2 linked regions of the Macaca mulatta genome follow. The protein of the gene in region 1 interacts with the protein of each later gene in a pairwise test. Links are inferred from orthologs where the notes say so. Each region holds a gene or a part of one and is shown on either strand. Other genes may lie near its edges.

What was found.
Region 2: the proteins of TBL1XR1 (region 1) and ARL2 interact in binary tests that used the Homo sapiens proteins (3 or more experiments, as listed by UniProt). The two-hybrid records come from large-scale screens. The link is inferred for Macaca mulatta from reciprocal best matches to the Homo sapiens genes TBL1XR1 and ARL2.

What each region holds. Positions count from the first base shown.
Region 1 is NC_133407.1:89,020,104-89,023,921, forward strand, and holds part of TBL1XR1 (F-box-like/WD repeat-containing protein TBL1XR1), read right to left. Parts: intron 1,868-3,818; coding exon 1,645-1,867; intron 764-1,644; coding exon 631-763; intron 287-630; coding exon 145-286; intron 1-144. UniProt on the Homo sapiens protein: F-box-like protein involved in the recruitment of the ubiquitin/19S proteasome complex to nuclear receptor-regulated transcription units. Plays an essential role in transcription activation mediated by nuclear receptors.
Region 2 is NC_133419.1:9,369,477-9,373,394, reverse strand, and holds the start of ARL2 (ADP-ribosylation factor-like protein 2), read left to right. Parts: upstream 1-1,713; 5' UTR 1,714-1,749; coding exon 1,750-1,814; intron 1,815-3,367; exon of another isoform or gene 3,368-3,432; intron 3,433-3,918. UniProt on the Homo sapiens protein: Small GTP-binding protein which cycles between an inactive GDP-bound and an active GTP-bound form, and the rate of cycling is regulated by guanine nucleotide exchange factors (GEF) and GTPase-activating proteins (GAP).

The sequences.
Region 1 (3,818 bases):
TGGCAGGTGACGACTCCCAGTTTGTTGTTACTAGTTAATAAAACCCCAAATTCTGAACAAATAGACAAACCGTGCCATGAGTCTGAGGCTCTGAGGGTTAGGTATACTAGTAATTATATCCATCATGGATACAGTGATACTCACATTCCAATCTAGAGATGTGACATCCTTGTTGCTTGGAACATCTTGCCCTCCTTCTCGTATACAATGTCTAAGTACTAACTGTGTAGAGCCACTGGTGCTGTTCTCACTAAGATTCCATATTCTTGCTGTTGAGTCTCCAGACCTATAAAAGTATGCAATGTATTTTAAATCCTCATGACATTCTCAACTATCAGAATCAAGGCAACATATTTACATCTGAATATTAATAAGGCAAATAAAAACTAAACTATCACAGATTTTCATTTCCAGTATTTTTCCCATTCTACACATTGGGACCCCCAAGCGTTCTCGAAACAGTAAGTTTAATTAAAAATTCTACAATTACTTCATGAAGGAATAAAACATTTACAGAGACAAAATGGCCACAAATAAGCAACAACAGAAAACCTGAATAATGCATATGTTTATAAAATGCTCAGTAAGATATTTGTAAAAGCCATTTTAGTATCACTTTGAGAAACACACCCTGATGCTAGGAGATCACTAACAGGGTTCCAGGCACAGATGAAAACTTCAGATTCATGGCCCCGCAACACAACTGCTTTATTAGGAGGGATTTCAACATCCCCATCCACTTCCATCATATCAGTATGATTATCTGCATCGTGAAAAACAAGTAAGCAATTCCAGTTAGGCAGTATTACAATATGGCGGATGGGTGAATTCTTAACTAGCAAATACCTTCCTTTATCACATACAGGGTTAACATTATCAAGTTAAGCTGAACATGACTACACAGTCTTAGTCACATAGAAAATAAATTGGTACCTTTAATTAAGTATTGACCATACTTTTTTTTTAAGAGGGATGGGGGTGGGGGTGGGATGCAGACTTTAAATGATTAGACCTAAACATGGATAAAACGATAAAATGGTTTGAACTAAACATAATGTCTACCAGTACTATTCTGAGTTTCTGCCAGTAGGGGTTGCTGATATCATTCATATAACATGACTTGCCTTTTATCTCAATGTCAGAGCGCTATGGTATTTGTTGATAACTAGTATTACAATTTCATTTAGAAATCAAATGTAGATACAAAAATTCATTTAATGATGGGAAAAGGGCTTCTAGATATTTTAAAAAGAAAATAAAAGTAAATCTAGCTTTTTGGAGCTTCAGGAATAAAAATCTGATCTGTGTGATACAAGTTAAGAAAACAAGTTGGTGCAAATAACAGATGGAATTATTTCGGCATAGAAGATGGGACATTCTGTTAAAGCAAATATATTTCCTCTGAGAATAAATTTTTAAAAATTCTTATCTCCTGGGACCTTCCTGGGGGATGGAGGGTGGAAGAGGAGGATCAGAAAAAATAACTATTGGGCACTAGGCTTAGTACCTGGGTGATGAAATAGTCTGTACAACAAACCCCTGTGACATGAGTTCCTCTATTTAACAAATCTGCACATGTACCCCGAATTAAAAGTTTAAAAAATAAACCACGTAATTAAAAAAAAAATTCTTGTCTGAGCTCACTTGCTATAGTATGTGCTCCATTCTCTTCCCCATTTGCTGTGTTTTCTCCATTTTTTGCAGATCCTTGTTGGCTGGCTGCAGCTGCGGCAGCTGCAGCAGCTGCTGCCTGTTGCTGTGCAAGCTTATCTCTATAAGCTTGTTGTCTTGTTTGTACTACATCAGGCATTACGGCATCTATCAGGGACAGAGACTCTATTGGTCGACCATCAAACAAGGTACCATCCTGGATTTGGAAAATTGTGAGAGAAGAAAAATCAAAGGCAATATTTAAAGTTATCTGTATTTATACAAAATCAGAAATGAAATGAAAATCTTCATTCCTAGAAAAACATTTTGAGGAACTTTCTGAATTCATATAAGAAGTCCCGACGGAATAAAGAAACTACAAGCAGCAACTGGAAATGACTGCTTAAATTTTCCTTTTTATTTAGTTCACACTATTATTACAGTATAGAGCTGTACAGATAGAGCTGAAAGATGCAGGCCGAGCTGATAAAAAGGTTTATTAATTAGATTCTGAAATTCTGTTAGTCAAAGCAACAAACAATATGGAATAGGTCATAGAATGATCAAAGGCCTGGTGCCCCATTATAGTAAATACCTCTTTTAAAAAACTAAAAACTTTGAGTTAAAAAGTTTCTTGTGATTTGATTCAAATATTAAAGCAGAAATAGACTTCATGAGCTATAGTGCTCTTGAATATTAGGGAGTTGTTGAAATTTCCAAAGCTCCACTTATTGATATTAGGAAGTTCCTAATAAAGAGTTCTCCAAGTAAGCACAAGAAGAGACACAAACACAGAGCAAGTCAGAAACACAAAGAGTACAAATTAGCTGGGAGCATGCATTTGTGAAGTCTCGTTCACTTAAACTGGTAAACGCGCACCAGTGACAATCTACAGTGTCATGGTAGGGTAATGTGAGCTGCAAAAACACTGCACGTTTTTGCAGTGTTTCTGAACTGCAATTGTAACACAGTATTTGAGGAACGGGAGAAAGTATTTTAACTTACAGATAATTTTATAAAGATACTAAACCCAACACAGATACACTGTGGAATAAGCGCTATGTCAAATTTACACACGTTGTAAGAAAAAATTTAGTTTTGTGTTAGTGGATTTTCACTCAAAGAGCTGAGGAAACAAAAAAATCCATTTTAGTATATTATGTAATTTCTAACTCTAGTAATAATCATTGATACAGAAATCATGGATACTTCAGTTTAAAAAATACTCGCAAAAGTGGAACATGTTAATCTCTGAAATAAAAGTAATGGGAAAAGCTCCACACTATACACAAAAATTTTAAACTAGGCTGGGCATGGTGGATCACGTCTGTAATCCGCATTTTGGGAGGCCGAGGTGGGCAGATTACCTGAGGTCAGGAGTCAAGACCAGCCTGGACAACATGGGGAAACCCCGTCTCTACAGAAATACAAAAATTAGCTGGGCGTGGTGATGGGTGCCTGTAATCCCAGCTGCTCAGGAGGCTGAGGCAGGAGAATAGCTTGAACCCAAGAGGCGGAGGCTGCAGGGAGCCGAGATTGCACCACTGCACTCCAGCCTGGGCAACAGAGCAAGACTCCGTCACACACCCAAAACAAAACCAAAACCAAAAACAACATTTTAAACTAGACCGGGGGTATAGTTTACAACCTTTTCCTGTAAAAGAGTAGACAGTAAATATTAATTTAGGCTTTGCAGGCCATAAGGTCTCTGTCGCAACCACTATTCTGCCAAAAGTAGCCAAAGACAATATGTAAATGAGTGTGGCTGTGTTCCAATCAAATTTTATTTACTAAAACAGAGAGCAGCATTTGGCTAATGGGCCACAGTATGCTGACACCTAAGCCAAACAAACTACTCACATGTAGTCCTTAGATCGGCAGTACCATCCAGAGTTGGCTTCAACTATAAACTGGTTTAAATTAGGGTGTATTCAAATAATGTGAGAATTTACAATTTTCAGGCCAATAATTATGATCTTAGCATTCCACAGCACAATGCTGTTAATAAAAATTATTTCTTAGTGTTTACTTATAAAAACAGATGAAGGCAAACAAACTACTAGGCGCCAACACCTTGCCGGTGCAACCTGACTACTACATTAGGGATGAACTGTCTGCACTTTTGTTACCCCTGTGAAGCTAAAGTCAGAATACTGAATAAGCAAGCA
Region 2 (3,918 bases), on another chromosome or scaffold:
GGCTGGTCTTGAACTCCTGACCTTGTGATCCACCCGCCTCAGCCTCCCAAACTGCTGGGATTACAGGTGTGACCCACCACGCTCAGCTAGCATTTCCCATTTTGATCTTAGTTGGGTTTCAAAGTCTCTGGGTAGGCGCTATGCTCAGTTTCTTCCTTTGTGTGTGTCTGATGGAGGGTAAATGGTGCTGACCCAAGGGTCCCACTCAGGCAGCCTATCTGTTCAGCCCTCCTCTGACCACAAGCCCCTTTCTGCAAGATGGGAAGCTCCAGCTTCTTCCAGACCGCTGTCTAGGCAAACTTCATGGAGGCATGAAGACATTGTGCTTTACCATTGACCAGACCTGAGTTTGAATCTCACCCATGCTCCTTAAACACTTGGGATTCCATTATCATAGCTACGAAAAGAATAGAAACCTCTCAGGGTTGCAGGGAGGATGAAGCTGAACACGTGGAGCGCATTGCAAACAGTTACACAGGAGTTAGCCATTGTCTTCAGCTGGTGCTGACAGCTCTTTCCCAAGCATGAGAGAGGATCTTCTGCGCTGCCTATTCACATTTAGCCTGCAGCCGGCTGGGGCACCAAATTAAGACAATAAGGCTCTCTCCTGAGTTTACAATAGGCTTGATGCTTGACCTATTTCCTCACTTCCTCTGGACTTCTTTTTTTTTTTTTTGAGACGGAGTCTCGCTCTGTCGCCCAGGCTGGAGTGCAGTGTCCAGATCTCAGCTCACTGCAAGCTCCGCCTCCCGGGTTCCCACCATTCTCCTGCCTCAGCCTCCCGAGGAGCTGGGACTACAGGCGCCCACAACCGCGCCCGGCTAATTTTTTGTATTTTTAGTAGAGACGGGGTTTCACCGTGGTCTCGATCTCCTGACCTTGTGATCCGCCCGCCTCGGCCTCCCAAAGTGCTGGGATTACAGGCGTGAGCCACCGCGCCCGGCCTCCTCTGGACTTCTTAAGCGCTAAGGTAAAGAATGAAACTCTTGGACAAAGCCATTCATTCAACAACAACTATTTATCGAGCACCTACTACATGCCAGCCACTGTGCTAAGCACCATCTGGGTTTTTCCATCCGCAAAAGTAGGAATTGTGCTTCTCAACAGGGAAACGCTGGGCCTCTGGGTGGGGGAGCCTTTGGGACCGGACTACAATTCCGTCATTGGAACCCAGGGACGCCCCGCACGTTTCCGAACGGCCTCCAGGGGGCACCGCCGCCCTGAACTGAGAGCCACAGGAGCAGGGTAGGGGGAGGCCCAACTTTCTGCTCTGTCACTGGCAGATTAAGGACGATGCCGAGGGCCCAGAGGAGCAGGATTTGGACCGTGTTGCTGGGAACAGGGGCCTACACTGGCCCCAAGATAAGTTCGTCCGTACCTGGAGACCCTGGGTTCTGACTCTGAGGTCAGACGCAGCCAAGATGCAACTCAGGAACTTCAAGGTTTCCGCTCCGGCCCAGAGCCCCGGTCTGGCGGGGGAAAGGATAGGGGTGTCGCCCTTGCTCCCCCAGCCTCAGCCTTCGGGAGGCGCAGCCTCAGGGCGGGCGGCAGCACAAAAGGCTCCTGCGCCGCTAGGGGCACTCTCGCAGCAGCTGCGCGGGCGACCTCGCGATCACGTGCGGCGGGGGCGGGACCAAACGAGCGTCCAGCCAATTGGCTATGCCGTCGGCGAGCGTGATAGCCAATAGGAACCGGGAGCGGGGTCCCGGGACTGGGAAGAAACGGCGGCCGGGAGGGGCTCCGGGGACCATGGGGCTCCTGACCATTCTGAAGAAGATGAAGCAGAAAGAGCGGGAGCTGCGACTGCTCATGCTGTATCCTCCAGACGCCGGAGCCGCGGGGGTAGCGGGGCCCCGCCGGGCGGGCGGTGCCGGGCGCCCCCTGTCGGGAGCGGAACGCGGCGGCCGGCGCGTCCCAACTGCCCCTGGCGTCACCACGCCGGCCCCACCAATCGCCCAGGGGGCCGGGAGGCGCAGCACCCCTGGCCTGGGGCTGGGGCCAGCTCCGAGGGCCGCAGAAGCGGGCCTGCAGGCGCAGCGGCGGGTGGCCTGAGTGTCAGGGGCGGTGGGTCCCGGAGATGACTCGGACGCCACCACCGGCGGCCTGGCGCAAGCGTGGGGCCGCTGCCTTCCCGGCTCTCATCTCCCCCGGGCCCAAGGGTTCCAGGCCCCGGCCCCGCCCTCCAGCTGCGAATCTTGGGGGCGTGCGGGGTGGCGGGTGGCGGATGTGGACTCTGCGGATCCTTTCGAGCGTGGATCCAACAGTCTGTCTCTTTGGTGCTACGCGGCCCTTGGATGACCCTGTGGCTGAGGATGTGTGTATGTGAGCCCGAGTGCCCCGTGCGCGCTGTGCGCCTTCTGAGTCCATTTAGGCGCCCACACCCGTTCCCTCTGCTCTGTGCCAGGCCCCGCGGGGGAATGGCAGGGGAGATAAGATGCTTACGTGCACATATAACTTAATAATCAAATCTCACATTTTTGAGATAGGGTCTTGCTCTGTTGCCCTGGCTGGAGTGCAGTGGCGCAGTCAAGGCTTACTGCAGCCTCCAATTTCTAGGCTCAAGTGATCCTCCCACCTCAGCCTCCCAAAACTCTGGGATTATAGGCATGAGCCACGGAGTCCGGCCCATGTCTGTTTTATTTTATTTTATTTTATTTGAGACGGAGGTTCGCTCTTGTTGCCCAGGCAGGAGTGCAGTGGCGCAATCTCAGCTCACTGCAATCTCCGCCTCCCGGGTTCAAGCGATTCCCCTGCCTCAGCCTCCCAAATAGCTGGGATTACAGGTGCCCACCACCACGCCCGGCTCATTTTAAAGAATATTTTTAGTAGAGACGGGATTTCACCTTGTTGGTCAGGCTGGTCTCGAATTCCTGACCTCAAGTGATCTACCTGCCTTGGCCTCCCAAAGTGTTGGGATTCCAGGCATGAGCCACCGCGCCCGGCCCCATGTCTGTTTTAAAGAGCTCTGAGAAAAGCATACAGTTCACTCATTTGATAAATATTGAGTGCCTAATATGTGCTAGGCACTGTCCTAGGGGCCAGGGTACTAAAACAAAAAAAAAATGTTACCTTCATGGAAATTCTGTAATGCAGGGGGGTAGAAAAATAATAACACAGGAAATAAGTAAAATATGTAATAGAGGCTGGGTGCTCAGTGGCACACACCTGTAACCCTAGCACTTTGGGAGGCTGAGGTGGGAGGCTCGCTTGAGCCCAGGAGTTTGAGACCAGCCTGAGCAACATAGACCCCGTCTCTATCTATACATATATATATTCTCCATACATATTATATATGTATATGGGCCATGCTTTGGACCATGCTTCTGGGGAACACGGCCTTCTACTGCTCCAGGATGAGCTCCCACTACATATCTATATATGGAGAATAATGCAATTTAGGGTGGTCAAAGAAGGCCAGTGTATGATGGCAGGGCATGGTGGCTCACACCTGTAATCCCAGCACTTTGAAAGACCAAGGCAGATGGATCACCTGAGGTCAGGAGTTTGAGACCAGCCTGGCCAACATGGTGAAATCCCGTCTCTACTGAAAATACAAAAATTAGCTGGGTGTGGTGGTGGACACCTTTAATCCCAGCTACCCAGGAGGCTGAGGCAAGATAATTGCTAGAACCCAGGAGGCAGAGATTACAGTGAGCCATTACACTCCAGCCTGGGTGACGAGAGAAACTCTGTCTCAAAAAAAAGTGACAGTTGAGTACATGAGGGAGGTGAGGGTTGAACCTTATAGCAGTCTGGGGGGAAACTTTAAAGCAAAGGGAACAGCAAGTCAGAGGCCCTGGGAGGACTAACTGGCATGTTCAGAGGACTGGCGAGGAGCGCAGTGTGTCTGGAGTGGGGAGGACTGTTGACTGGGAACCACCTCACCTAGGGCCTTTTGGTTTTTGGTTTTCCCTTTCA